4 linked regions of the Saccharomyces cerevisiae S288C genome follow. The protein of the gene in region 1 purifies or fractionates together with the protein of each later gene. This does not show direct contact. Each region holds a gene or a part of one and is shown in the gene's direction. Other genes may lie near its edges. The genes, in order: GID12, GID7, GID8 and VID30.

Region 1 (8,010 bases):
ATTCACCAACGGTTAAATTTTACAAGGAGGGGCTGGTCATCGTTTTTCAAGCAATAATTCTAAGTTACTCGCCTTTTACAAGCTCTATAAATATTCTTTTCCGTTCTTTAGTTGTCTTAACTTTGTACAATATGAATAACCATCGTTTCTAGGCTACTAAAAAAACACCATACTACATAAACAAATATCTAATAATGAATACTCTTGGCATTCGTCTTGTTTCTCGAGGAATATCGGCCGAGTTTTTTTCATTTTGACAGGTTATATAATTCAAAATCTATCTGACTCTGAAAAAGTGGTAATAAATGCATTGACAACTTCTTCTCTTTATTTTACAGACATTAATCCAGCACTACAAGTGGCATATAACAAGATGCTAAGAAACATTTTGGTGAGAAGTACTGGCAGCAATTTCAAATTTGCTGGCAGATATATGAAATCATCAGCTCTTTTAGGATACTATAGAAGAGTTAACTATTATTCGACCAAGATACAAACCAGACTGACTAGCGAAAACTATCCAGACGTGCATCGAGACCCTAGATTCAAAAAATTAACGTCCGATGATCTAAATTATTTTAAATCTATTTTATCGGAACAAGAAATATTAAGAGCCAGCGAATCAGAGGATCTTTCATTTTATAATGAAGATTGGATGAGAAAGTACAAAGGACAGTCCAAGTTAGTATTGAGACCTAAGTCAGTGGAAAAAGTTTCTTTAATCTTAAATTATTGTAATGATGAAAAAATTGCCGTTGTCCCACAAGGCGGTAACACGGGGTTGGTAGGTGGTTCTGTGCCCATTTTTGATGAATTAATTCTATCTTTAGCAAATTTAAACAAAATAAGAGATTTTGACCCTGTATCAGGTATCTTGAAGTGTGATGCTGGTGTAATCTTGGAAAATGCTAACAATTACGTAATGGAACAAAATTATATGTTTCCGTTGGATCTGGGAGCTAAAGGTTCCTGCCATGTTGGTGGCGTGGTTGCAACCAACGCTGGAGGACTAAGGTTATTGCGTTATGGCTCACTACATGGAAGCGTTTTAGGCTTAGAGGTGGTAATGCCCAATGGTCAAATTGTTAATAGCATGCATTCCATGAGAAAAGACAACACCGGTTATGATCTGAAACAGCTGTTCATTGGCTCAGAAGGTACTATCGGTATCATCACTGGTGTTTCAATCTTGACTGTTCCTAAGCCAAAAGCGTTTAATGTATCTTACTTGTCTGTTGAAAGTTTTGAAGACGTTCAAAAAGTCTTCGTCAGAGCCAGGCAAGAATTATCTGAGATTTTATCCGCTTTTGAATTTATGGATGCTAAATCTCAAGTATTGGCCAAGAGCCAATTGAAGGATGCTGCCTTCCCTTTGGAGGATGAGCATCCATTTTATATTCTTATCGAAACGTCAGGGTCAAACAAAGATCACGATGATTCCAAACTTGAAACATTTTTAGAAAACGTCATGGAAGAGGGCATAGTAACGGATGGTGTAGTGGCACAAGATGAAACCGAACTCCAAAACTTGTGGAAGTGGAGAGAAATGATTCCAGAGGCAAGTCAAGCTAATGGTGGTGTTTACAAATACGATGTTTCTTTACCACTAAAGGACCTATATTCTTTGGTTGAAGCCACTAATGCAAGACTTTCTGAAGCTGAATTAGTGGGTGATTCGCCCAAACCAGTGGTGGGCGCCATTGGATACGGTCACGTGGGTGATGGTAATCTACACTTAAATGTTGCAGTTAGAGAGTACAACAAGAACATTGAAAAGACTTTGGAACCATTTGTCTACGAGTTTGTTTCCTCAAAACATGGTTCCGTTAGTGCCGAACATGGGCTAGGTTTCCAAAAGAAAAATTACATTGGCTATTCTAAGAGCCCGGAAGAGGTCAAGATGATGAAGGATTTGAAGGTTCATTATGATCCTAATGGAATTTTAAACCCTTACAAATACATTTGAAAATAAAATGCCAAGTTTTATAGTTATCTACATATGTATATATTTATCAATATTATATTCTACAATTGTGTATATTATATGGTAAGGGTGATATTTAAGGAAGAAATCCACCCTTCTTTAAGGTTTCCACTGCACATGTTGAAATGTGTCTGAATCTTGATGAGCCCAAAGGCGTGCCACCATACCATCTGGTCACTATTACCAAGACGTTGAATATGTTTGCTCTTTCAAGTAAGGTCAATAAACGCTGTCCAGCACCAGCTTCGCCACAGTCAGCACATCCTTGCTCAATGTTCTTTGGCTGCACCGTTATGTTCCTTGACTTGTTAACATGACTATTATTACTCTTATTTGCTTTATTGCCCTTCTTTTTCTGCTCTTGTTGTAAGTGCAAATTATTTGATACCTCGGCCGTTCTCCAGGCATACATGTGCATGTGGGATGCCTTGGAGACGCTTTTGTTGTTTTGCGTTAGTTCTTGGAGTATGGAGGGTATATCCTTTTGATTTTGTAATGGGCAACATCTTGCTTGAAATTTCGATTTTCTATCAACTAAAACTTCTGATTCATTCCATATTTTCACTAGCTTACCAACATTCTTACTCATTTCTCCAAAAAATAGTAATACCAAACATCAATACCTATCTAAGAATCTGTATAATGTCTTTTCTAAAGGTTTTTTACAGCTGATGATTGATGCATGACTTATTTCCACAGTGCCGTATTTTCTCAGTTGCCGTTTTGGGTCTGCTTTTCACAATGCGAAGCTTTGTTGAAAAGAGCTCTAAGGTCAAAAACAATAGTAAGCTGATCGGTATTAAGTACTTGCCTTCCTGAAAATTGCTAACAAACATCCAAATATACCTTCCCCATAGTTGAATGGCATCTAATAGAACAAAACCAGGTTAAGATAGGTTTTACTTTGAGTTGTTAAATACACGCAGAAAGCGTCTTTCCACATAATCTGAACATTTTGTTATCGATGGCTACTGGCAGGATTCAATTTGCTGTTTCTACTCCCTGCAATACTAAGGGTAAACCGTCTGGTTATAGGTTATTTGAATTTAAAAACGATCGATTAGCACTGGTCCCATCAGAAAGAGGTTGTACAAAAGTAGATGTGAATGCAAATATACAAGCGTTTTGTTATTTAAGGCCTAATGGTAGAGACACGTCAATATCTCCAGACGCAACGCATATTTTGGACTCATGTGATTACATGGTGCTGGCTAAATCCAACGGATTCATTGAAATCATAAGCAACTATCAATACAAGATAAAAAATGGCCTGCGATTAGCGCCCTCTTATATCCTTAGATGTACTCCGGAAGATTTCGAATCCAATTTTTTTAGTGACTATATGATCGCTGGTCTTGAATATAGTCAAGGTTTATTATATTGTTGTATGTGCTCCGGTCGAATATATGTCTTTGTAATGAACCTTCCCACTGATTACATTCAGTATAAGAACATGTACAACCCCATGTTTCCAGATTGCTTTTTCAAAGTACATCACGATAATAATACAACACATTCTTCAGAAGAAGAAAAATTATTTGAAGGTAGTACGCGGTACACTGGAAGGTCATGCTCTAAGCATATCTGCTACTTCCTTTTGCCTATAGAACCATCCCATTTAAGATCGTCACCCGTGGTATCTTCGTTTTGCAATATGTATCAAGGCCTGCCCATATATAGGCCTTCGATGTATTTACATATAGAACGAGGTATTTCCACATTCCATATAAATCCATTAGACCGGTTTTGTTTCATGACAGTATCGCCACGATCACCACTATTTATAAGGAAAATAATTTTACCATTGACTTATGTTACATTTTTAAGCACCTTTATCAGCCTAAAGAACAGTATACAGGGAGATACATGCGGTGAGATACTTTCGTGGGACAACGTAGCGCAACAAAATGGATTTGGTTCTTTGTTCAGCTGGATTAGTAACAAGTTTACATTCGATACGGATATTATAAATTCAACCATTTGGGATGATATTGTAAAATATTCTGGAACAGGAATGCTGGATTCAGGAATCGTCTGGAAACAGCGTCAAGGTCACGCTAAAGATGACATATATGAGTTATTCCACACTCAAGATATGCTGGGAAGTAGTCGCCGAAATTCTTCATTCAGTACTGCTAGCAGCGAACCGAGACCGCTGAGTCGAAGAAGGAGAGAATCTTTTCAAGCCTTAACTAGAGACGCTTTTAGAGAAAGAATGGATGTACCCTGTTCAACGAAGTGGGAATTAGATTCTTTTATCCGAGGATTAAGAAGGAATACATTTATGGTAGATTTTGAAATTGTTGAAAAGATTTCTCATAGAAATGGAAATGATGGGGTGAATGAAGATGATAACACTACAGATGAAAGTGATGAAACAATGACTTCTTTTCTAACAGATAATTACAAAAAGATGGACATTGTGTGCATCGATCATTTCGTCACGTTGAGTGCATTCCGACCTCGGTACTATGATGAACCAATAATTAAAATCGATTCATTATCGAACAAAAATGGCTCTGAAAATGGAACTAATGAAGAAGAGTGGGCAGAAAGTCAAATGAAGGTGGATGGCCAAGTGATAGATGATGAGACAGCTCAATTCAAGCAGGCATTGGGAAATTTATGTTCATTCAAGAAATTATTTATGCTGGATGATTCTTTATGCTTTATATTGGACACACATGGAGTTTTGTTGATAAATAGATTTGAAATAAAAAATACCAAAAATTTGTTAAGGAATTCCAAGGATACTATTCGGATAATACCCCATGATTTCGGATTGATTAATGATACAATTGTTATAATTAATGATATAGACGTAGGCACAGACAATGTTTGCGCCCTTACGTTTCACTTGGTGGTAACATCAATGGCAGGAGAGATAACTGTTCTTAAAGGCGAATTTTTCAAAAACTGCAGGTTAGGAAGAATAAAACTGTGCGATTCACTAAAGCTAAATAGAAAAGATCGGTTTGTCGACAAACTTGCTCTAATCGATTATGACGGTTTAAATGCACAAAAAAGAAGGTTAGATTACGATGAAAAGGACCTTTATACATTCATTGTGAAAAAGGTAAAAAGAGACTAAATTGAGTTGCATAGATGTTAGCCATAATAGAAAATAGCGTATGAGGTAGCAGGAGTTATAAGACGTATTTACGTATATGTATGTATATGTTATTATTATTACCTGTGATTGCACGAAGGCCTTTTTTTTTCACAACAAGAAGATGTAAGAAATTTACATGCTATTTTGATTAATGGTCGAATTAGGTATTGTCTTTAATCTTTCATTAAGAAAATATAATGTAACCAAGAACAGCTTGTTAAAGGGCTTCCTATTTAAAGTTATCTTCTTTTCCCCAAGGTACCACTCCTATATGGTTGATAAGAATTGTAGTTTCTGTAATTGGAAGAGTTGGAAATGCTGTTATTATCAACATAAGTAGAAGGGTTATATCTGGAGCCATACATATTCTCCGATATCGACGAGACGTTTACTTTTGTATTTTGATACCGTGAATTTTTACTAATATTATTATTGAGTGACAGCGTCTCGCCCCTTATAGTTGGTTGAATGACATTAGACTTTTGATAAGGAGGAGGATGGAAGTTCGATGCTCTACGTTTATTTCTGCCACTATGAGAGTGATCGTTTTGGGAATGTCTTTTATGGGAAGGTCTCGGTAGTGGATCCTCATCGTATATGGACTCACTAAATTGATAGTCTTCATTTTCGTCCGAATTTCTGTTCATGTGACGGTAATATTCCTGTTTTAGCTCAACTGACAAATTAGAACCAGTGAACGCACTTCCATCCTCGTTAGGTACTCTAGATGATCGTTTTTCCTTGCAATCATCACCAAAGTGCCCCTTTCCACCGCAGTTATAACAGTATATAGTATGAAAGGGAAGGACCTTGGGCTTAGCCTTTTCATTATCATCTACTAAAATATATGCTCTCCATATACTAGGACATCTTTCTTTTGAGTGTTTCTTACTCTTACAAAGAGTGCACTGAACTTTTTTCCATTTATGTGGACATTGTGACCTGTAATGACCCACCTCATCACACTTTGAACACTGGATAGCCTTCGGACAATGTCGAGAATAATGATCATCCGTCGCCCCACAGTACGAACATATTATATGGGGACAATCCTTCTTCAAATGACCTCTTTGAGAGCAATTATTACATTTAGGTGCTGCCTCTTTAATGGCATCCTTGTCATCATCGCTTACGCCAAAATATCTACCCTGCCCTCTAAGAGCTCTTAATTCGTTGGGATTACTATTTACTTCCTCTATAGAAGGTGCTACAAGTTTATCTGGAGGAGTTGTGGGTGCCGTATCGACGACAAATGGTGCCGTATTTTTTTCCATGACTGCGAGGAAGTGATGTAAGCTGCTATCGTTGTACAGGTAAGGTTTAATTCTCTCTGATGCTGCCAATAGTCATAACTTTTTTCGAAATGTTTCTTCCCATCCCATTAGTGTTTGAAGGAAAAAAAGGCACTACCCGGATCATGAATACATTTGATGGTAATAATATATATCACATTTTTAAGCATGTATTAGCTACTGGGAAAGGGCATTTTGAAATGGTATGTTTTCTTTAAGGATGAACTATATATATTACATGAAATATATTTCAGGTTTACGTGAAGGGTGAAAAAGGAAAATCAGATACTCACCTGTAATCATTAGCGGGCTCGTTTGGATCAGTTTTAAAGATTTTGTCCGGGTTCATGATTCTCTTTGGGTCAATAGCTAGCTTAATCTTTCTCATCAAATCGACGGGTGCTTCACCTAATTCTTCGAGCAAGTACTCTCTTTTACCAATACCAACACCGTGTTCACCCGTGCAAGTGCCTTCTGCGTTCAGTGCTCTCTTGACCATTCTGTCAACAAGTTGGCTACAGGTTTCGTGTTCTTCAGGGGTTCTGTAGACGATGAATGCATGGAAGTTACCATCACCTGCATGACCAACAATGGCGTTGATCAGCTTACTAGCTTGCATGTCCTTTTTAGTTTCGTGAATAACCTTGTCGAACTGCGACACAGGAACAGCTACATCAGTTGTCCAAATTTTAGCTGATTTGTCTTTGCTCTTATCAGCGTCTAGCACAGACCATAGCGCGACCTTTCTAGCTTCCCATAATTCCAATTTTTCGTCATCATCTTTAGCAAACTGAAAACTGTTGCAGTGATTTAACTGGGCGACAGCCTTAACTTCATCCACAAGAGCATTGACAATGTTGGGAGATCTCCCACCAATCTTGAAAAACATAGTTGGTTTCTCTACCCAATCACATCTGTCCGTGGATTCAGATGCGTTGATCAACTTCATCATATTTTCATCCAGTAACTCCATGGCGTTCAAATGAATACCACTCTGAGTCAGATTAGAAGCACATGCGGCCGCATCCTTGATAGTATCAAAGGATACCACCGCAACAGTTTCAGCTTTGGGCTTGACATGACACTTGACAGTAGCTTCAGTAACAATACCTAAGGTACCTTCACTTCCCACAAATAAACCATTTAAGTTATAGCCAGCGCTCGACTTTCTGGGTCTTTTCTTCGTCTTGACAATGGTCCCGTCCGGCAACACTATAGTCATGTTTATAATATTCTCCTTCATGGTACCGTAACGGTAGGCGTTGGTTCCTGAACAAGAATTAGCAATGCAACCACCAATCTGTGCACCTGGACCAGGGTCACAGCCAAACATCAAACCGTGGTCGCTCAAATAGTCATTCAAATCCTCCCAGGGTAGACCGGCCTGCACGGTGATGTCCAGGTCCAGCTTGTCAAATTTTACGACGTTATTCATAAACTTGGACAGGTCTACGGTTATGGTATCTCCAATTCTTGTAGGCAGGAAGTGCCCCTCCAAGGACGTTCCGCCCGAGAAGGGTACAACTGGCATGTTGTTATCGTGACATATTTTCAAAATTTTGGAAACTTCTTCGGTAGTATGAGGGAATAATATAATCCTAGGTCTTTGCTCGGGAGAGGGG
Region 2 (7,963 bases), on another chromosome or scaffold:
GTCTCGGCGGCTTTAACGTATTCAGGAGCCATGTTCTTACAGTGGCCACACCATGGAGCAAAAAACTCCGCAAGCACCAAGTCGTGCGACTGAATGTACTCATTGAAGGAGTCGGTGGCCAACTTAACGACAGCGGAGTCTTCAGGGGCCACAGCCTCTTGTTGGGCGAAAACAGAGGAGGCGAGCAGCAGGGAGGACCATGACAGGACGGCACCAGCAGAAAACTTCATAACGGGATAGATGTATGTTTTTCTTTATGTAGAGCTTGGCAGCTTTAAAATTACCAATTAGACATGCTGCTTGCAACAAGAAAATGCACGCGTAACAAAATATATATATATATATATATATATATGTATGTCCATACGGGTTTTTCGTTTTGTTGTGGTTGTAACAGCACAACAAAATGCTACACGGTGGCAAATTGGAAAAAGAGACTAGTGAGAGAAAAGGGAAAAAGAGGCGCCGCCCGACAGGGTAACATATTATCACGTGCAGCCCAGGATAATTTTCAGGACACGTGTTTCGAAAGGTTTGTCGCTCCGAAAAAATCAAAAAAAACAAAAAACGGGAAATAACAATAACGACAAAAATGGAAAAAAAAAAAATTTTAGACGCGGCGCTTGCACCCCGCATTATAAGTGGTGTGCCGACGGACGGTCAACCCCTTTCAGGGGGCCCCCTATCTTGGGCGTGGTGTCACACCACGCTCAAACGGTGGGCACTAATGAAAACGCGCCCATATAAATATCCGCTATCAACAGAACCCCCAACCCCCCCATCAGTGCCCAACTCAGCTTCCGTAAACCACAACACCACCACTAATACAACTCTATCATACACAAGATGTCATTCGACGACTTACACAAAGCCACTGAGAGAGCGGTCATCCAGGCCGTGGACCAGATCTGCGACGATTTCGAGGTTACCCCCGAGAAGCTGGACGAATTAACTGCTTACTTCATCGAACAAATGGAAAAAGGTCTAGCTCCACCAAAGGAAGGCCACACATTGGCCTCGGACAAAGGTCTTCCTATGATTCCGGCGTTCGTCACCGGGTCACCCAACGGGACGGAGCGCGGTGTTTTACTAGCCGCCGACCTGGGTGGTACCAATTTCCGTATATGTTCTGTTAACTTGCATGGAGATCATACTTTCTCCATGGAGCAAATGAAGTCCAAGATTCCCGATGATTTGCTAGACGATGAGAACGTCACATCTGACGACCTGTTTGGGTTTCTAGCACGTCGTACACTGGCCTTTATGAAGAAGTATCACCCGGACGAGTTGGCCAAGGGTAAAGACGCCAAGCCCATGAAACTGGGGTTCACTTTCTCATACCCTGTAGACCAGACCTCTCTAAACTCCGGGACATTGATCCGTTGGACCAAGGGTTTCCGCATCGCGGACACCGTCGGAAAGGATGTCGTGCAATTGTACCAGGAGCAATTAAGCGCTCAGGGTATGCCTATGATCAAGGTTGTTGCATTAACCAACGACACCGTCGGAACGTACCTATCGCATTGCTACACGTCCGATAACACGGACTCAATGACGTCCGGAGAAATCTCGGAGCCGGTCATCGGATGTATTTTCGGTACCGGTACCAATGGGTGCTATATGGAGGAGATCAACAAGATCACGAAGTTGCCACAGGAGTTGCGTGACAAGTTGATAAAGGAGGGTAAGACACACATGATCATCAATGTCGAATGGGGGTCCTTCGATAATGAGCTCAAGCACTTGCCTACTACTAAGTATGACGTCGTAATTGACCAGAAACTGTCAACGAACCCGGGATTTCACTTGTTTGAAAAACGTGTCTCAGGGATGTTCTTGGGTGAGGTGTTGCGTAACATTTTAGTGGACTTGCACTCGCAAGGCTTGCTTTTGCAACAGTACAGGTCCAAGGAACAACTTCCTCGCCACTTGACTACACCTTTCCAGTTGTCATCCGAAGTGCTGTCGCATATTGAAATTGACGACTCGACAGGTCTACGTGAAACAGAGTTGTCATTATTACAGAGTCTCAGACTGCCCACCACTCCAACAGAGCGTGTTCAAATTCAAAAATTGGTGCGCGCGATTTCTAGGAGATCTGCGTATTTAGCCGCCGTGCCGCTTGCCGCGATATTGATCAAGACAAATGCTTTGAACAAGAGATATCATGGTGAAGTCGAGATCGGTTGTGATGGTTCCGTTGTGGAATACTACCCCGGTTTCAGATCTATGCTGAGACACGCCTTAGCCTTGTCACCCTTGGGTGCCGAGGGTGAGAGGAAGGTGCACTTGAAGATTGCCAAGGATGGTTCCGGAGTGGGTGCCGCCTTGTGTGCGCTTGTAGCATGATCTTTTTACATTTTTTTGGTTTGTGTACGTATCCCACCGTACTTACCATCTTCTCTCCTTTATATATATATATATATATGTATATTTTCAGTGTATATACATACATTCTTATACAATACCGTATAAGAACGTATGTATGTATGTATGATTTTCTCACATTAATGAACAATATCATCGGAAACGGGCCTTTGGTTTTTAAGGGAAAATGAAGAACAATAAATGCCTTGCTAGGTCTTCCTTTATCATTTTTGGAAGTCAAATATGAAAAACACTTCCAAGGGGGCGTACTACTTCAACTAATAAAATGTCACACACTAATAAGATCGCATACGTGTTGAACAATGACACGGAGGAAACAGCCTCGCCCTCTTCCGTTGGTTGTTTTGACAAGAAACAGCTCACTAAATTACTGATACATACTCTAAAGGAGCTGGGCTACGACTCCGCCGCTAACCAGTTACTGCTAGAGAGCGGCGGATATCAAAATGAGTCTAACCACATCCAGACTTTCTTCAAACTCATCAAGACCGGCCAATTCCATCTTATTAATTGGCAGATTGTTTGCTCGCTGCCCCTTGCCCATAGCTCTCCGCTAAGGTCCGAATGGCTTCAAAGGCTGCTCATTCCCACGCCGACGCCCGCCACGACTTCACTTTTCGACCACATGCTCCTGCAACTGCAATACCTGCAACAGCTGATGAGCTCTGTAAATTCATCTACTTGTTCGGACGCAGAGATCGCCACGCTCAGAAATTACGTAGAGATCATGATTCTAGTTAATAGACAAATATTCCTCGAATTCTTCCATCCAGTCACAAATTCCGCCTCTCACAAGGGCCCTCACACTGCACTGCCCGTCCTGTATTTGCGCAAAATCCTCAAAAACTTCATCGAGATATGGGATTCCCTGCTGGTGTCTAACGATCAGTTCCTAAATGAAGAAAACATCTTCAATCCGGAAACGACCTTGAGAGAACTGTCGACGTACCTGACCAACCCAAAACTAACCGCGCAGTTGAACCTCGAGCGAGACCATCTGATTGACGCCATCTCCAAATATATCGATCCGAACGAACTCGTTCCCAAGGGTCGTCTCTTGCATCTCTTGAAACAGGCCATCAAGTATCAACAATCACAAGACATTTTTAATATCATCGATCCGGATGATGACGCCTCTTTCTCCTCTCCACCCCACCGGATCAACCTTTTGCAGGATAACTTCTCACACGATCTGACTGTGACCTTTCAAGAATGGAAGACTATCCAAGACACCACAGACGAAATTTGGTTTTTGACATTTTCGCCCAATGGCAAGTATTTGGCTTCTGCGACTTCCGAGTCTTCAAGAGGCTACTTCATTACTGTTTATGATGTGGAACAAGACTTCAAAATTTATAAGACTTGCGTGAGCTTGTCACAATCCGTATTGTACCTCATGTTTTCTCCTGATAGCCGGTATCTGGTTGCTTGCCCTTTCAGCGAAGATGTTACCATTTACGACATGAATGCCACCTCCCTGCCCGATGCGTCTGCCACAGACTCGTTCCTACTATACCCTTCTACCAGGCTCTCGCCCATGGACTCGTTTAAACTGGACACCACCACGTACCCAGATGATACCGAATCATCAGCATCATCTTCCTCGAGGCCGGCAAACGCGAATTCTAATCAATCAAGAGTATGGTGCTGCGATGCCTTCCACACTGCGGAACGTGCGGGCTGGATGGTGGTTGGATCGCCCGACAGAGAAGCTATTGTACACTCACTCACCACGAAAGAGTCACTTTTTAGCTTAAAAGGCAGGACTTGTATCGCGTTGGGCCACGATGAAAACATCTCTGGGAGAAAATCAATCGATCCTGCAAAAGTCCTTTACAAACCAACAAGTAGCAATGGTAACTGGCAATATGTGGAGGACGACGAAACCTTTCCACGTGTGCACGACGTGAAAATCAGCTATGACGATAAATACGTGCTTTTAATGACCCACCAGGGCGTTATAGATGTCTACGATTTCAGTGGGTTCCCCTCCAAAGAGGAGCTATCTAAGCAAACAGTGGATCCCAAAAACTTTCTGATTCCAAGGATCGCAAGATTGGACGTGGGCAAAAACATGACTTGTATCTCATTACCGCTAAATACCACGCATCAAGGCTTCCATAGGCAACAAATATCCGAGTCTCAACATTTGGTATTAGTTAGCCTTCAAGATAACGAATTACAAATGTGGGACTATAAAGAAAATATTCTCATACAAAAGTACTTTGGACAGAAGCAACAGCACTTTATTATCAGATCTTGCTTCGCCTACGGTAATAAGCTTGTCATGAGCGGATCAGAAGATGGTAAAATTTACATTTGGGATAGAATTAGAGGTAACCTAGTATCTGTTTTATCCGGTCATTCCACGGTAATGAGTAATTCCACAAAACCCATGGGGAAAAATTGTAACGTAGTTGCATCAAACCCTGCAGATAAAGAAATGTTTGCTTCTGGCGGTGATGACGGTAAGATAAAAATCTGGAAAATTTCAAGAAATTAATACTCCACCTTATATATATACGTAAGCAAAGTTTTATGTAACAAAAAAAAAAAAAGAACTAATCCAACCTTCTTTCACTTTCAGGTAAAACTTGACTGAGTTCTTCAGCCTCTCTTCTACCTCTCTTGACATCCAAACAGTTTAGCACAGGCAATGATAGCATCAAAAGCAAAAAGAAGAAATAAAACGAATAGCGAATATTATGCGTTTTATCGGTAAGCAGTCCAACAAGGAAGGGTCCCAGGATGGACGACCCCTTATCTGTGATACTGAACATACTAAAAAACGTGGATTCTTTTCCTGGAGGTACAATCAAACTGAAAACTGATCTTGAAACCGCGGACAGGCCACCTAGTGATAATCCATACCAAATGGCCAATAAGAACATTTCAAACTTATGCTTTAAACCGAACGCATTGAAGAAAAATCCAAGAATACCATAAAATGGTATGAAACTTGCCCAAATGATAATGTACATCAAAGTTTGACTAGAAGTCCACCGAAACTTTGTGGCAAGAAATTGTGGAATCATAAAGGCACCCAGCATTGCATTTACAACGGTCAAAACACTTATCATGATTAAATTGAGGGTACTCATGTGCAGTTCTGCCTTGGAGAACAAAACCGCTGTAGAATTTATAGTTGTAATGGAATCACTAATAATAAACCACGCAATAAGAAAAATCATCACATCTTTCAATAGTCTGGCATGTTTAAACGATTCGAAAAGCGAAACCCAACCATATGAAAGGTAATTCTTCCAGTTTAGTTGACCCAAGGCGTCTTGCTCACCGGGATACGGACTGCGGGCGGATGCTAATGTAGAATCGTCAACTCTTATCGGTATTGTCACATCGTCAATCAACCAGATCATGGGCAGTTGCCACACAAACCACCAAATCCCAACGAAAAGAACAGCCACTTGAACATCCTGCTTACTGCCCTTTTTAGATGCGACTAAGAACATAGATACAATCTGAACAATGAGGGCACTTGAATAACCTAAAGATGCACCTCTACCGCTAATAACAGTAGTTAACGAGTCTACCTTATCAGGTTCATAAGCTCCTTGACTTTGACATTTCAAAGAATCCTTGACAAAAATGGGCAGAAGAGAATTCCCAACAACATTGATAACGCCAAAACAACCATTGGCCACTATATAAAGCCCAGCCAGAGAATAAATCTGGGTATCATTCAATTTTGAAATCGCAACAGTCGACAATGCGCCCACAATACCAAACCAAACCAGAATTCTGCCTTTGAATTTAACGCTCCCCCAGAGATCTACTATCCCTGAAACGGAAATGACTATTATAGTTTGGAATAAAACGCTAAGGGAAAAGACATATAATGCAAAACTTGAAGTATCTACGAAGATCCGATTGTTGAACAAACCAAGAACACACTTATCTGAATCACTACCCGTTTCTGACAGGCAGGGTATGGAGTGATCGTGAACTTTTACACCATTTATACTCGCAAATTGCTGCAGTAGTAAGGGAATATACGTTGAAACCGCAGAAACGACAAATGGTTCGCTAGAAAATGAGTAAGCGTACCATCCCTTGATATTGTTTTGGGCTTTTTTTATTCGATAGTTCGTTACCGATTCATTCATATCATTTATAGTTCCATAGCTCATATCTAATGTAGAGAATATGTTATGAGCAAACTATTGCTTATAAGGGCAAAAACCGTGGTAATATAGGTACAGTTTGAAATCTTTCCTTTTGTTTACACTACGCATCTTTCAATAGCTGAGGTATTTTCGTTTAGGAAAATACCGTTTTAAGGAATTAATTTTAGCAATTTCCTAAAATTGTTGAGCGGCGCTATCAATGCCGCACAATACAACAATTAATAATCTAAGACACGTTGCATTATACATGACAGAAGCTAAAGCATGGTCTTAGATGACAATAAAAAGGAATTTGACAGCACAAAAGAGAAAAAAAAAACTATACATAAAATTTTTTACATATGAATTGCTTAGAGTAAAATAGGCATTTTTCATATCTTCTTCCCAATTATTAAATTAGCAAAAAATTGAATAAAAAAAGCAGGTGGTTTAAGAATTGCGCAGGGAGAAGAAAGAATATCATATCTCATGATGGTAGCCACTTAGACAGAGAGAAAACGAAGTGAGAAGAGGCTAGTATTTTTATATCTTAAAAAAAAAAAAAAACAAAAAAAAAAAAACATAAATATTTGTATCTTATTGCTTATGATGATAATGTACAATGAATTCAAAACATGAAAATTGTTCAAAGTTTTTATTTTTATTTTCTCTTTCGTATTAAACTGATGGAACAAATGAAAAAAATGGATAAAAAAACAAAAAAAAAAAAAAAAACAAAAAAAAAACAGCTTTGCTGGAGGATGATTAACTTTTAATTTTTTTAATTATTAGGTTTTTCAATTTTTTATGGTTTTTTGTGTAAAATGCAATGAACGAATCCATTTTTTATTTTGCAAGTGTGAGAGGCCTTTATAAGGAAGACTCGGATTCACCGGCAGCAACCGGCGCAGAGTCTTCTTTGGTTTCTTGTTCTTGAGAAGCGAGTTCAGTGGATGATTCCTCTTCTTGTTGAGGAACAGGTGGTAGGGATATCATGAATTGGTCCAATGCATCGCCGACCAGTTCTTTTTCAATATTAATTTCAGTTTCAAAAGTTTCTGGTAACCAGTTTGACCAGCTCTTGGAACGAACGAAGTACTTATCCAATGGAGATGGTTCTTTGGCTTCACCGGTAACGTTATCACCTTCCTTGGCGGCCAAAGTACCTTCTGCAACATTGACGGTAGCGGCTTCGTTAGCGACAATTTCTCTCAATGCGGCTAAAATCAGGTTAGTGTCACCTCCGAAGGACATGTTAACAACTCTGTAAAACTTAGAGATTAAAGACAATGGAGCAAAACCATCCTTGGAGAGTTTGGACCTTAAGTAATTGTCGACGGTCAAGTTTTCTTCGCTGAAATAGTATTCAATTTGTCTAGCAATGTTGTTGATGGCCATTAACACTGGTTGGACTGGATAAAACTGTTGCTGTAATTTGACCATAGGTTGTT
Region 3 (7,171 bases), on another chromosome or scaffold:
CCAAATTTTACCCATGAATAAACGCTTTTGGATAACAGATACCATTTCAGTAGTTACGTTGGACGCTAACCATTGTCCCGGTGCAATAATAATGCTTTTCCAGGAGTTTCTGGCAAATTCGTATGATAAGCCTATAAGACAAATTCTTCACACGGGGGATTTTCGAAGCAACGCCAAAATGATTGAGACAATTCAGAAGTGGTTGGCCGAGACAGCGAATGAAACTATTGACCAAGTTTATTTAGATACAACATATATGACTATGGGATACAACTTTCCTTCACAACATTCTGTGTGCGAGACTGTGGCTGATTTTACATTACGGCTTATAAAACATGGTAAAAACAAAACATTTGGAGATTCACAAAGGAACCTTTTTCACTTTCAGAGAAAGAAAACATTGACAACTCATCGTTACAGGGTCCTATTTCTTGTGGGAACATATACTATTGGAAAAGAGAAGCTAGCCATCAAGATATGTGAATTTTTGAAAACAAAATTATTTGTTATGCCGAATTCCGTTAAATTTTCAATGATGCTAACAGTTTTACAAAACAACGAAAATCAAAATGACATGTGGGACGAAAGCTTACTCACCAGCAATTTACATGAATCATCCGTACATTTGGTACCTATAAGAGTGTTGAAAAGTCAAGAAACCATAGAAGCTTACTTGAAAAGTTTAAAAGAATTGGAAACAGACTATGTGAAAGACATTGAAGATGTTGTCGGGTTTATACCTACCGGGTGGAGTCACAATTTTGGTTTAAAATATCAAAAGAAAAACGATGATGATGAGAATGAAATGAGTGGCAATACAGAATATTGCTTAGAACTAATGAAGAATGATCGAGATAATGATGATGAGAATGGGTTTGAAATCTCGAGTATATTGAGGCAATACAAAAAGTACAACAAATTTCAAGTTTTTAACGTACCATATTCTGAACACAGTAGTTTTAACGATTTAGTGAAATTTGGTTGTAAATTGAAGTGTTCTGAAGTCATTCCCACTGTGAATCTAAACAATTTATGGAAAGTGAGGTATATGACGAATTGGTTTCAATGTTGGGAAAACGTTAGGAAAACGCGGGCGGCTAAATAAAACAAAAAAGGAAAACAAAAAAAAGAAAAGGGGGTAAAAATGTGTTATGTAAGATGTACGTACGTAATGGATATTATATGAATGTATGATTTTATATTATTGCAATATCGTATTATACTCAGAGTCCAACGTTTGATCATTATCCATATCATGAATAAACCTGTTTGGAATAGTGATAAAATCAGGAATTCTACGATCGTTGGCTAAATCAATAGATCTTCTATATCTTAACAACAAATTACTGCTTTTTGAGCCAAATTTCTTGGTGACTTTCCTATAAAATAACCCACAGGCATTACACAAAGTTCTTGTGCCATATGGTCCCTTTCTCCATTCTGGAGTCTCGGTCTCCCCGCAATGGAAACAAAACTCGATGATTTTTTTTGCATTAGGATTCTTTTCATCGCTATTAGCGGCGGGAGTTGTCGTTGAAACTGCAGCAGCACCAGGATTGGAATTATTGATGAAATGGCTGGAAGTGGTCAGCGTGGGTTGTCTCTGAATAGCTCTTGGTCTGCCTCTGTTATTCTTCTTTTTCGTGTTGAGGTTAGAAGTGGTTAAGTTCTTTAACTGCGTTTGCACCATTGGAGATAACGTAGTGTTTGGAATGTAGGTTATTGAATTGAAGGGAGATGATGAAATATTCATTTTCTTATCGTTTGGATCGTCTTGTCTTGGAACCTGTAACTTTTGAAGAGGCGCGGAACCGGCCGTGGGGGAGGGTGAGGAAGAAGAGGTTGAAAGAAAAGCGTGACGGTGATATAATGGACCATGTAAGGTGCTACTCTTTAAATCGGTATCCGAAGCATGCCTTTTATTGTCATAGAATGTTGGAAGATGTTGGGTGGAGATGGAGTCAGTTAATTCCTGTAAGGAAGGTAACTTTATCTTATTGGAAAACGGTGAAGAGCTCTCCTTTTCAGACTCTTGCTGCTTCAACTGTTGCTGCTCTTGTTGTCTGTCAGTAAGTAAAGAAGCCAGACGGTTTTCGATGGTTGTGATATGATTTTGTAAAGAATGGAAATTCTGAGTAGCAATACTCTGCCTGAAATGGGTAGAATTTGATAAAGATTTCAGTTTAGCTAATTCATCCATAGTAGATTGAATGTTTAGATCATTTGCTGTAGTGGTAAGTTCGTTGTTTTCAAAATGTTTAGAAAATGAAACTACCCTGTTAATTTCATGACAGGAACGTTCATCAATATTGTCCAGCACTTCATTCTGATTCGAGTTTACGGGTTTATCGTTATTAATGTTATCAGTACCAATGCCATTATTGGTTTTATTGTAAACTGGTACTTGTTGGAAATGAATATCAGTAGCAACAGGAGCATGCATTTGAGGGTGAATATTATTTAGCTGAAAGTGAGAAATATTGGGCGGCATGTGGGGATCCGGTATGATGCTGACCAGCCGCTGAGGAGCAGAAGGAATTTGGTGTGTATTTCTATAATGTGAGTTGTTGGATATTTGAATATTAACGGCGGGAAGAACAGAATTAATGTTGTTATTTTTTATAGTGTTGTTACTATGGTTGTTGTTATCATTATTGTTGGGATGATGATAGTAGTATGCGTAGTTGTTGTTTGCGCTGTTTATATGGGCATTCGGTCCATTATAATGCTGCAAGGGTAATGGAGAATTTATAGTTACAGTAGAATGCAAAGGATCTACTCTCGGAGCAGAATGGTCAAAAACAAGTTGTGGAGGACCGTATGTGAACCCGGGCAGTGCTTGTGGCTGTGTTTGAGAGAAGGGGTAGATATTGGGGGCTTGCATCTCGATGAAATTTTTTGAGACAAGTCGTAAAAGCCCTTTATTAAAGTGAAAACAAACAATTCACTATGAACGAAAACAATATTAGAGCAAAGGAAATCACTAAAAGTAGATGGAGAAAATAAAAAAACGCCGTGAACGGAAATAGAAGAAATATGAGGGGACGCAAGGAAGTAAAAGGACCAGGAAAGAAAAAATCCTCCTTCAATATATACCAAGATATACAAGAAACTGAAACTCAAAAAATAACTTTTATACAAGATTGCCGACACGAAGAAAGGAAACGATAGCCGAATGTCTTAATGCAATAACAACTGCATTAACAATTAAGCAAATTTAGGAAATTTGCTTATAACCTTATATTTCAAAATAACCGTTGAGTTTTAGCTTTTGCACAATTCCGCGCCGGGCCCCGCGCAGGGAAAATCGCAGCAGCCGGAAAAACCGCCATCCAGCACCTTCAGTTGGGGAAAGCAAAGCAACCGAACGAAACTATATCTGAGATAAGGGCGGTGCAAAAAGAATGTGAAACCACGCTTGAAAAATGAAGTCACGGTTACACTATCTCCAACTCTGCAGGGTACAGTGCTTCTGATCGTGCATCCTTTTGTGGTCTGGACCAGCGTCGACGCGGCGACAGAAGTAGCGATGTTTCGCAGTGATAGACGCGTAGCGGTACAGGCCTGCGGCGGCTGTTGTGCGGTGACGTGCCCATGACTCAACAAAAAAATAAAAATAAGCAAACGGAAAAACCATATTAGTTCCCCTTTCTGCTGCTCCTACTCCTGTGCGTTTTCTCTTGCGCTCCTTTTTTCCCTGTTTTATTTTTTTTGTGTTTTTCGCTCGGCTTGGGTTTGTGTGTACGGCCCTTTTTGGGATCCCGGAGTTTATTTGACTGTTGTCCGGATCCGTTCCGAGTGAATGGTAATCGCTCCATTGTGTTGCTGTTTATCACTATCAGTGTCGATCTCGCTTTCCTGACTCTGCCGGCGCGGTGCCCCGGTTCGTTGCAGGAGACATTTTGATGGTACATCATTTTTCTTGAAGCTAACATGTGTAATTTGGTCATTAAATTGCAAGCAAAGGGGCAGTAGAGACAAATATCAGCCGGATGAAGATATATTTGTGTGTGGTAACAAATAGAAATGACTATATCTACTCTTAGTAACGAGACCACGAAGAGCGGATCTTGCAGCGGCCAAGGCAAGAATGGTGGGAAAGACTTTACGTATGGAAAGAAGTGCTTCACGAAGGAAGAATGGAAGGAGCAGGTGGCCAAGTATTCTGCCATGGGCGAGCTATATGCAAATAAGACAATACATTATCCGCTGAAAATTCAGCCCAACAGCAGTGGCGGCTCGCAGGACGAGGGATTTGCTACCATACAGACCACACCCATAGAGCCCACACTGCCACGGCTTCTGTTGAACTACTTTGTTTCTATGGCATATGAAGACTCGAGCATTAGGATGGCCAAGGAGCTGGGATTTATACGGAACAACAAAGACATTGCGGTTTTCAATGATTTGTACAAGATCAAGGAGCGTTTCCATATCAAACATCTTATTAAGCTGGGGCGTATCAATGAGGCGATGGAGGAGATAAACTCTATCTTCGGGCTGGAGGTGCTGGAAGAGACTTTCAATGCTACGGGAAGTTATACGGGTAGAACTGACAGGCAGCAGCAGCAGCAGCAGCAGCAGTTTGACATAGATGGAGATTTACACTTCAAACTGCTGTTACTGAATTTGATCGAGATGATAAGAAGTCACCATCAACAGGAGAACATCACCAAGGATTCCAACGACTTTATACTCAATCTAATTCAGTATTCTCAAAATAAACTTGCAATAAAGGCTTCGTCAAGTGTCAAAAAGATGCAAGAGTTAGAATTAGCAATGACTCTGCTGCTTTTCCCCTTGTCAGATTCGGCGGACAGCGGCAGCATTAAGCTGCCCAAATCGTTACAAAATCTGTACTCGATATCTCTAAGATCTAAGATAGCAGATCTGGTTAATGAGAAGCTGCTGAAGTTTATTCATCCAAGGATTCAATTTGAGATCAGCAATAATAATTCCAAATTTCCAGATTTGTTAAATTCCGACAAGAAAATAATTACGCAGAACTTCACGGTGTATAACAACAATCTCGTCAATGGTTCAAATGGTACAAAAATAACTCACATTTCGTCTGACCAACCTATCAACGAAAAGATGTCAAGCAACGAGGTCACGGCTGCTGCTAATTCAGTTTGGCTAAATCAAAGGGATGGAAATGTTGGCACAGGTTCAGCGGCGACAACTTTTCATAACTTAGAAAATAAAAATTACTGGAATCAAACTTCTGAATTGCTTTCCTCTTCAAATGGAAAGGAAAAAGGTTTAGAATTCAATAATTACTACTCTTCCGAATTTCCCTATGAACCAAGATTGACGCAGATAATGAAACTGTGGTGTTGGTGCGAAAATCAGCTTCATCACAACCAAATAGGGGTTCCTAGGGTCGAAAACTGACATACATAGTACGTATATATTTATATATGTGTGTGTGCGTGTGCATGTGTGAGTGAGTGTGTGTGTGTGTGTGTGTGTGTGCCTACCTGCATGTATGCATTTAGCAATTGATTTTTCTTTTTTTTTTTTGGAAGCTTTCATAGTATGAATTCGCATTTTATCGTGTTTCCCGTATCAATCTTCAGGAAACATAATTGAACATCATCGATATTCAATGGCAGTAGTTCATCTTTATGATTGTAAATTTTGACACCGTTGGAAATCGTAAACTTTCTTGCCCCTTCACCGCCCTCATTCTTAATTATATCGCGATATATTTCGCAATCTTTAAAGTAGTGGTAAAGTCTCAGCCTCAATACACGCAAGGTAGTACCAAACTCAGGTCTTTTTTCATTTTCATAATCCTCTGGAGAAAATTCAACATGAAATTTTAATGGGGTGGACAGAAGTTCTTTCCCATCTACAATAACATTACATTCGACATCCAATTCTGATACAAACACAGGTTTTGCAAAAAACTTATCGCGATCTTCGAACTCTTCAATAACAATACCGCTTTTCTCGTCTTTGTATTCTTTACCGTGATATTCATCACTCACCAACATCCGATGAAGCTTCAGACTTTCATCGATTCTTCCACGCTCTAGTTCTTCTGATGTGTTCTTTTGTAGAAGACTCATTTCGATCGTTATATACAGTTCGTTAAAAAATGCAAGCGTACCAACCACTATCAAAAAGAGAGTTATCCTACCACTTATTCGATCATGGATAAATTGATGAACATATGGCAACTCCTGTAGTTTATTTATTAATTTTAATTCGAGATTTAGATACCTATCCTTTAACGACATACCGGCCTTTGGTTCTTTTTCTATACCACACTTTGCTATAAACACTTCCAAGTATATTGCAGATTTGCGATGTGATTCAATTTTTATAATGCTTTATATTTTGTTTTTTTTTCATAAAGGCTTACTTAAACGAGCTTGCTCTTCTTGCTTAGCGATATTGCCGAAACTCGGGTTTACTTTTCCATTTTACTTCGTGGCTAGTGTAAAAAGGAATTGCAAAAAAAGGGTTCACTTTTCGAACATTTTATTGAGAACCGTTTCAACCTTATTAACCTTTTCATTCATATTTGTAGTGGCAAAAGTTGTTAGTTAGTATTTCTTTGTCAAGTCAGAGAAAATGAGTGGATAAGAGGGGGAAACAGCTCAGTTTCTTGCAAATGCATACATACCCATTTCATGAATTCTTCGTCTTTCAACTTTTCCTTGATTAGCCGCTTAGATATTTTTCTTGACGCATTCCGATTAACGTTTTTAACTCTTATCGTTAATCCTTCGCTTGGCGATGCTTCTTTCCTCGTTTCATTAAGTGTGCCGTTAGGTAGCACTTCTTTATTTCTATCAGGGGTATGTGTATTTCCAGATTTTTGGGGGTTTGTTAGTTTATCATCAATATTTTTCTTATTACTGGTATTTTTCTTCGCCGTGTTGTCTTTCCCGGGGCTCCATATAATCGTTGGTGTTGCATCTAAACCAGTGACGCTTTGCATCTGACTTTCCCTTTCCTTTGGTATATGAATAGTTTCTAATAAACCAGTTTTACACAGAGCAATCTCCTTTCTTGAAGTAAAATCAGAAGTGGTGTCGACTTTTTTCTTTTTGTTTTCTGCATTAGGAAGGCAGTTGGTAGTGTTTGGTGGAGATTGAGAAACCTCCAATGGCTGTACAATTAGCGACTCAGGACGACCCAAAACAGTTTGCGTAGCCAT
Region 4 (8,628 bases), on another chromosome or scaffold:
AAATTAAATAAGGCAAAACGAGAAACAAAATATTAAAAATGTAGGAAAAAAAAAGTCAAAATTGGTTTGACGACTTAACCTAATCAATTTAAGTCGGAATGATGATCAACAATAACATCTTTAATTTTATCATGAATATCTAATTCGGTTAATTGACCCAATTCATCTATGAGCTCGGCAACTTTATCATGCAACTTAACATCCTCCTCGTGAACAATTTCATTCTCATCCATTGTGGATGGATGAGCTGGTTTACTCATATCAGCTTTTTCCAAAAAGTCCTGGTTAGTATTTTCATCGCTTTCGGCACAGAACTGGCCTCCACCAAGAATTATTGAACACATTGTCCTTGTTTCGTTCAAGATGTCACTAGAATATGACATCCAAACTTCATCTTGTAAGAAGGCATATATATCTGGAGCAATTAGATCGGTCTTATAAATTTTGGAATACTTCGCAATTTCTTCGGCAATTAATACTAATTGACCCATATAACCTAAATTTGTTTTCTCTTTTTCGTAAAATTCAAACGAATCCTTGTGGCCTTGTAAAATGAAATCAGAGATAATATGGAAGTCTTTAACAGGTAACTTTTGGTTGCTGCCGTACAAAGGTTTTGGGATAAATCTTGTAGACTTTTTGAAATCAAACAAAGAATAGACCAAAAATGAGTTATAAGAAAAATCCATTCGACCATTGAATATCTGCTGAATAATATCAAATACAATGTTGTGCCAAAAGTTATTCCAAGGATATCTTAAGAATAATTGTAGAAACTTTGGAAAAAACCCAAGGTCATGAAGTTTAATTTTGAATAAATCTCCAATGGTAGGGTTTTTACGTATTTTCAAATTTTGCGTTTCACTGACGTAAGGAATTTCAAAACTCATATCATCATCATCATCAATATTGTCATCAGATGTATCAAAAGTAGAATACAATTCATTATCATGAAACTTTTTTTTAATATTTTTTTTTTGTTTTTGGTTGTCATTACTGTCATTACTATCATTATTATTACATTTATCTTCTAATGTATTGGAAGTAATAGTATTATCATTTATATTTAAATTTTTCATGGCTTTCTCTAGTGAGTTTTGATCAAGAGTGTCCCTGCATTTATCTCTGGTACGTGCTATTTTTTCGCCTCTTTTTGAATTCATCAATCCCATATTTGAACAGTGTAACATTTCCGATATCAATTCTGTAATCTTGACTCTTTCAAAGCCCAAAGGCCTGAATGATTCATGCAATTGGTTTTCTAGTAGGTGATGCTTAACAGATGGAAGAGCTTTTGAAGCAGTGTCATGATCATCGTCATCATCATTTTCAAGTTTAATTAGTAATGCATAAAAATCTTCCATATGCATAGTGAGCTCATATAACAAATGGCCCAAATAGACTGGATCTCTTTGAGAAGGCGGATTGTCTACTATGGTGGTACTTAACAAATCTACTTCGTCATAGTCGGAATTATTCTTCCTGATCAACTCAATTATAATAGATACGGCAACTCCCATTGCATGGCCTCTTTGAAATAAGATTATATTAATAAGTTGGTCGACATATTGCGGAGAGGCAAGCTGTCTTGTCAATCGGTTAGGTCCGATCCACAAAGTATCCAGTTTAAAATTGGTGGAAATGCTGATCAGTGCTTTTAGAAGCTCTCCGCTACTGTTTTGAATACCAGGTGAGTATTTGCTATTTTCCAAGAGATTCAAACACTTAGGTATCAGATCCTGGTGATACAAGAAGTCAATAATGTTCGTAGGTGATTCAACTTGATCAGTCAGCATGATTTTAATGAGAAATTCAACCAAGGGTGAGACTTCAATATGATATAAGAACTTGTCCACAATGTTCGGTTGCGATTTGAAAAATTCCAAATAGCTAGATGTCTGTTCAAACAGAAGAGTTTCGTTAATCTTAAGGAAAACAGCCAAGATAGGACAATTTTCTGCCTCAATATTTTCAAACTGGAAAACCTCGAACAGAGAGGACAAAAATGGGGTATTTTGCACGAGTGCCTCCACTATGGGCGCACTTTTCGAACAAAAAATACTGGAAATAATGTTGACATACAGCATTGGGTCTTCATCGTCCTGATCTTCATATTCACCTGTTTGATGGAATGAATTCTCTAAAAGAAATGGGGTTCTATAACCAGTGCGGTCTATGTCCTTCAGGTAAGCCATCAACATGTCCACTAGGTAGTCCATGTGGCGGACCTGCTGGGAACGGTCGTCATAGAAATATCCCAAGCAAATGAAGTCGACGAGTCTGTCGTTGGCTGCTCCATTCAGTTCATCCAGCAAAGCTGTTTCCAACAAGATCCTATCAATAAATGACTGGTTAAGGTCACTCCTATCCCGAGACTCGGTACCAAATTCGGACTCTGACTCCATAGAAGGCTCATTCTTCTTGTCGTCAGTTGAAGAGGTCTCATTTCCCTCCAAACTACGAAAAATTAGATAGTACTCTTCAAGTATCGAATCAATTCCGGAATGACTCAGCGTCTCTCCAAAGGGCCATAGTGACATATTTTTATTTTATTTTAGCTTTATCGAAAAGCAAGAGAGCAGTAAACTGGACGGTATAGAAGAAAAGAGAACTTAATAACAAAAGACCAGATTGTCTATAACTTTATCTCACACCAAATACCAGGTTGTCCTTTTCCCGCTGGGTGAAGCAACCGTTTCACTTATTCGCACAATCCAATTAGTAGAACACAACACAACACAACACAACACAACACAGCACAACACGCTTACCAAATTATATTTACTACGGCAACCAAAAACCGACAGAATAAAAAACAGCCATCATACGTGGATGAACTCTTGGTTTATTGTCTGTTATTATCCTCGAGAGTTCTTATTTAGGGGATTTAGGGCTGGCATCAATACCCTAACTAAACCCTGAACTGCCCAAGGAACAATTTTCAAAAGTAAGAAATGTCCTATACGTTTCTATGTATAACCCTAAGATAGTCAGGTTTCGGAAATAAGGCGGATTTCTACGTACATGATGATAATCATGTATCAAAGAAAGGATCAACTTGAAGAACAGCCTTAAAGTAAGCGTAATGGGCATTCTGTTTCAACCACCATTTCTGAAGTACTTTATATCTTGGATGCACAAAAGCTGTTACATCTAAACAAGAACGCAGCGTAACGAAATGGGAAAGCTGATAAAGTTAATCACAACTCTGACGGTGTTGGTATCGTTGCTTCAGTACTGTTGCGAATTCAATAGTGGGAGCATATCGTGTGAACGCACGCAAACGCTTTGCCATTATACCAATCCAAGAGTCTGGAACACCTACTTTTCAAGAAATTGTGAATTATACAAAAATAAAGTTAGTCCCGGTTTCGATATAGTGGCGCGTAAATATGACACGGCTGTCAAACCTGTCATCGATGACGCTACAGTAAAAGTGAACAAGGTCGCTATACAGCCTGCATTCAAGGTCATCCATTCACAATGTAAGAAATGGAACTGTGGAAAGTATTACCAATTGGTCCGCTCCCCAATGGTCAAGACTAGACGATTTTTCTTCGCAAAATACAATGCTTTTGTGAAACCTAACTTAGACAAATTCTTTACTGCGGAGTTTCGCTCTCATTTGAAGGAAAGAATTTTAAAGTATAAAAATATAGGCCATTATTACTTTACTATCACTTCAAGATGCATCAAATCCAAATACGACTTTATTGTTGGTAATACAGAGGAAAAATTAATGGGAAAGTTCAAGAATAAGGACACGCATGGCATTCATGGTTCTGTCACACGTGAGCCTTCCTCGGAGGACATGGTTTTAACCGTAAGTACTATGGAGTCTGACGAAGAGGAGCTAACTACAACAAGTACTCAAACAGTGGTTGAAACAATTACTTTGGACCAGGAAGAGGCTAGCGCTGTTGCTAATCATGCGCACGACGATGAGGCTTCCACAGACGTTGAAGGCTCCACAGACGTCAATGTCAATGAACAGGCTCTGTTGCAAGAGGATTTTGACATGTGGAGTGAGACTATATTGCAGAAAACACAAGACGTCATACAGCTATTTGAAAAGGATGTTTCCAAATACATCAATGGTAAATTGGTTGAGGAGGCCAACCATTTTAAAGCCAAGTTTCAATCTTTAGATGATAAATCTAAGAAGTTCTTCTCCAAGATTTCGCTAGCCATTAACGATATTGAATGTGTGGAAGGCATTGATAGTGAAACTGGCAAGAAAATTTTCTTCGATAAATCTGGAAGTACTGAGATTTCTCAGTACATAACGAGAGAGTTAGTTCGTGAGTACTTCAACGAGACGCGCTCGACGTTAGACGAACTGACAAATGCTATGGAGAAAGATTTGAGCGAAATCACTGATGAAATTGAAAAAAAAGTTAATGCAATTAGAGAGGAAAACGTCGAGGTATTTGAAGAATGGGGTGATATCATTGTAAATGAATGGTCCAAAAGAATGGCTTATGTGGATGTTATCAACGCTCACATGGGTGCAGATGATGACACTACGCTTGATGAAGAGAAAGCAAAGTCTTCTGTTAACTGGAAGAAGTTTTTGAAGGGCAAGAAACAGATCATAGAATCTAGAGACAAGCTGGCTCACCATTCCGCTGACTTATCCCGTGTTAACGCGTTTAGGCAAAAAGTGCAAAAGAAGATATTATCGTTCACTCAAGAGAGTGGTGAGTTTTTGTATATTCTAAGATCGAAAGCCAACCTGCAATTTCAGGAACGTGAAAGAAAGGAACGTGAAAGAAAAGAGCGTGAAAAAGCTGCAGCAGAAGAGTTCCAAAGGCAGCAGGAGCTATTACGACAACAGGAAGAAGAAGACGAAGAAGACGTATCCTACACCTCTACTTCGACCATCACCACAACCATTACCATGACATTGTGATGAAATTCATGCGCTTGCTATACACACACACACACACACACACACACACACACACAATATCTATCTATATATATATGTATGTTCTTTATTGTTTGTCTTTACCTTTATATATAAACATATATAGCCATATAAGAATATAATATTACCACTCCACTGTATTTTGTATCCTGCCTATTTTTGCTAGATTACAGGACGCGCGAGCCTTTCAGGGGAGGGAACTGATGAATCGATCAACCAAAAGAAAGAGCCAAAGGATTGGACCAGAACTGTTACTGTTATAGCAGAAATATTAGTAGTACGTTAAAGCCAAGCGTCGAATTTCAGCATAATTAAGAGGAAATGTCTGAATATATGGATGACGTAGACCGCGAATTCATTAACTGTTTGTTCCCGAGCTACTTGCTGCAACAGCCTGTGGCTTATGATTTATGGATTTTATATTTGCAACATAGAAAACTCTTTCACAAACTGAAGAACACTAACTTAATCAACGCTGATGAAAATCCCACTGGCGTTGGAATGGGCAGGACAAAGTTAACTGCTTTAACAAGGAAAGAAATCTGGTCTAAATTGATGAATTTGGGTGTTCTAGGCACAATTTCGTTTGAAGCTGTCAACGACGATTACCTGATTCAAGTCTATAAATATTTCTATCCAGACGTTAATGATTTTACTTTGAGATTTGGTGTTAAAGATTCAAATAAAAATTCAGTGCGAGTTATGAAAGCTTCCTCAGACATGAGGAAAAATGCTCAGGAACTATTAGAACCCGTTTTATCCGAACGTGAAATGGCGCTTAACTCTAATACCAGCCTGGAAAATGACAGAAATGACGATGATGATGACGATGATGATGATGACGATGATGACGATGACGATGACGACGACGACGATGAATCCGATCTGGAAAGCTTAGAAGGGGAAGTGGATACTGACACGGACGATAACAACGAAGGAGATGGCTCTGACAATCACGAGGAAGGTGGAGAAGAAGGAAGTAGAGGAGCTGATGCTGATGTGTCCAGTGCACAGCAGCGTGCCGAAAGGGTTGCGGACCCATGGATATATCAAAGATCTAGATCAGCTATTAATATAGAAACAGAATCAAGGAATTTGTGGGATACATCTGACAAGAACAGTGGTCTACAATACTACCCCCCTGATCAGTCTCCAAGTTCTTCCTTTTCTTCTCCTAGAGTATCGTCTGGTAACGACAAAAATGACAATGAGGCAACAAATGTTTTGTCCAACAGTGGTAGCAAAAAGAAAAACTCAATGATCCCTGATATTTACAAAATACTTGGGTACTTTTTACCTTCTAGATGGCAAGCTCAACCAAATAACAGCTTGCAGCTATCTCAAGATGGTATTACTCATTTACAACCTAATCCTGATTATCACTCATACATGACTTATGAAAGATCAAGCGCTTCTTCTGCCTCTACCAGAAATAGACTGAGAACCTCTTTTGAGAACTCTGGGAAAGTGGACTTTGCAGTCACTTGGGCAAATAAGTCATTGCCAGACAATAAGTTAACTATATTCTATTACGAGATTAAAGTTCTCAGTGTAACGAGTACAGAGAGTGCTGAAAATAGTAACATTGTTATCGGATACAAGTTAGTAGAGAATGAATTAATGGAAGCGACTACAAAAAAGAGTGTTTCTCGTTCAAGCGTGGCCGGTTCTAGTAGTAGCTTAGGTGGTAGTAATAACATGAGTTCCAATAGAGTACCTTCTACTTCTTTCACTATGGAAGGTACTCAAAGGCGTGATTATATTTATGAAGGGGGCGTTTCAGCCATGTCTCTTAACGTGGATGGTTCCATAAATAAGTGTCAGAAATACGGATTTGATCTTAATGTATTTGGCTATTGCGGATTTGACGGTTTGATAACTAATTCTACAGAACAATCTAAGGAATATGCTAAGCCTTTTGGTAGGGATGACGTTATTGGTTGTGGCATAAATTTTATCGATGGCTCAATTTTTTTCACGAAGAATGGTATCCATTTAGGTAACGCATTCACCGACTTGAATGATCTAGAATTCGTCCCATATGTGGCCTTACGACCTGGGAATTCTATCAAAACAAATTTTGGGTTAAATGAGGATTTTGTATTTGACATTATTGGATATCAAGATAAATGGAAGAGTTTGGCGTATGAGCATATTTGTCGTGGACGCCAAATGGACGTTTCAATTGAAGAATTCGACTCTGATGAAAGTGAGGAAGATGAAACTGAAAATGGGCCTGAAGAAAATAAATCAACAAACGTTAATGAAGATTTGATGGATATTGATCAAGAGGATGGTGCCGCTGGTAATAAGGATACAAAGAAGCTTAACGATGAGAAGGACAACAATCTGAAGTTTCTTTTGGGAGAAGATAATAGGTTTATAGATGGAAAGCTAGTTAGACCAGACGTGAACAATATTAACAACTTAAGCGTGGATGACGGTTCATTGCCTAATACATTAAACGTGATGATAAATGATTATTTGATCCACGAAGGATTGGTGGATGTTGCAAAGGGGTTTTTGAAAGATTTGCAAAAAGATGCGGTTAATGTCAATGGGCAACATTCTGAAAGTAAAGATGTTATCAGGCACAATGAAAGACAGATCATGAAAGAAGAACGTATGGTAAAGATAAGGCAAGAATTAAGATACTTGATAAACAAAGGTCAAATTAGCAAATGCATCAATTATATCGATAACGAAATTCCAGATCTGTTAAAAAATAATCTAGAATTGGTATTTGAGTTAAAACTAGCGAATTATCTGGTGATGATTAAAAAGAGTTCATCCAAAGATGATGACGAAATTGAAAATTTAATTTTGAAGGGTCAAGAATTATCTAATGAATTTATCTACGATACTAAAATTCCACAATCTTTGAGGGATAGGTTTAGTGGACAATTGAGTAATGTCTCTGCATTGTTAGCATATTCCAATCCACTTGTGGAGGCACCAAAGGAGATATCAGGATATTTGAGTGACGAATACTTACAAGAGAGATTATTTCAAGTTAGTAACAACACAATACTAACATTTTTACATAAGGATAGCGAATGCGCATTAGAGAATGTAATATCAAACACTAGAGCTATGCTTTCTACATTACTTGAGTATAACGCGTTCGGTTCAACCAACTCTTCAGATCCAAGATATTACAAAGCTATTAACTTCGACGAAGATGTGTTGAATTTATGAGCATAAAACAAGCACCTTCAAACAACAAAGCCATGTGATATCAGTCATTATCTTCCCAAAAATCGCATATTAATATGTCTTAAACCGTTTATATAATGAAATTTACTTGACACCTTTCTTTTTAATATTCTCATCCAAAATACTTCTTAAGTATAGTATATAATTTCATCGATAATTCCTTTATAGGCCAACGAAGAGCCACTAGACGTAGACACCGAAAGAATTCGAAGCAAAAACAGTGGTCAAGCCAGCAAACAAGCTGCCAATTACACTTAAAATTGTGTAGAAGAAGAGTTTCTTAATGTATGAAGATTTAGAACCGACGGCGAACAGGGCAGATGATAATACAGCTAATGTAACGATTAAACCACAAATTGCAAATTTTGGTTGAGTGTCTAAGTGGATAAATGGCTGGAAGCTCTTTGAGGAATGGAACTCTTTCTTAAGTGATTACACAAATGCCGAGAAGGCGAATTGGCTATACTTGTTAGTAATTATGA

Evidence for each region.
Region 2: the proteins of GID12 (region 1) and GID7 purify together in Saccharomyces cerevisiae (affinity purification with mass spectrometry; 2 studies listed by BioGRID). This does not show direct contact.
Region 3: the proteins of GID12 (region 1) and GID8 purify together in Saccharomyces cerevisiae (affinity purification with mass spectrometry; 3 studies listed by BioGRID). This does not show direct contact.
Region 4: the proteins of GID12 (region 1) and VID30 purify together in Saccharomyces cerevisiae (affinity purification with mass spectrometry; 5 studies listed by BioGRID). This does not show direct contact.

What each region holds. Positions count from the first base shown.
Region 1 is NC_001136.10:139,149-147,158, forward strand, and holds GID12 (Gid12p), read left to right. Parts: upstream 1-2,948; coding exon 2,949-5,075; downstream 5,076-8,010. Other genes in the region: PCL9 (Pcl9p), read left to right, coding at 1-57; DLD2 (D-lactate dehydrogenase), read left to right, coding at 374-1,966; YDL177C (uncharacterized protein), read right to left, coding at 2,061-2,573; AIR2 (TRAMP complex RNA-binding subunit), read right to left, coding at 5,336-6,370; DLD1 (D-lactate dehydrogenase), read right to left, coding at 6,678-8,010. UniProt on the Saccharomyces cerevisiae protein: Regulator of the GID E3 ligase complex. Modulates both assembly of the substrate receptor GID4 into the GID E3 ligase complex and its activity toward its substrates.
Region 2 is NC_001135.5:49,992-57,954, forward strand, and holds GID7 (glucose-induced degradation complex subunit GID7), read left to right. Parts: upstream 1-2,653; coding exon 2,654-4,891; downstream 4,892-7,963. Other genes in the region: protein disulfide isomerase PDI1, read right to left, coding at 1-230; YCL042W (uncharacterized protein), read left to right, coding at 593-952; GLK1 (glucokinase), read left to right, coding at 847-2,349; ATG22 (Atg22p), read right to left, coding at 4,950-6,536; SRO9 (Sro9p), read right to left, coding at 7,383-7,963.
Region 3 is NC_001145.3:536,912-544,082, reverse strand, and holds GID8 (glucose-induced degradation complex subunit GID8), read left to right. Parts: upstream 1-4,026; coding exon 4,027-5,394; downstream 5,395-7,171. Other genes in the region: DNA cross-link repair protein PSO2, read left to right, coding at 1-1,105; GAT2 (Gat2p), read right to left, coding at 1,202-2,884; ERG29 (Erg29p), read right to left, coding at 5,532-6,245; REC114 (Rec114p), read right to left, coding at 6,474-6,518, 6,635-7,171. UniProt on the Saccharomyces cerevisiae protein: Component of the GID E3 ligase complex recruiting N termini and catalyzing ubiquitination of proteins targeted for degradation.
Region 4 is NC_001139.9:64,420-73,047, forward strand, and holds VID30 (glucose-induced degradation complex subunit VID30), read left to right. Parts: upstream 1-5,251; coding exon 5,252-8,128; downstream 8,129-8,628. Other genes in the region: SAP4 (Sap4p), read right to left, coding at 84-2,540; SHE10 (She10p), read left to right, coding at 3,179-4,912; OST5 (dolichyl-diphosphooligosaccharide--protein glycotransferase subunit), read right to left, coding at 8,330-8,569.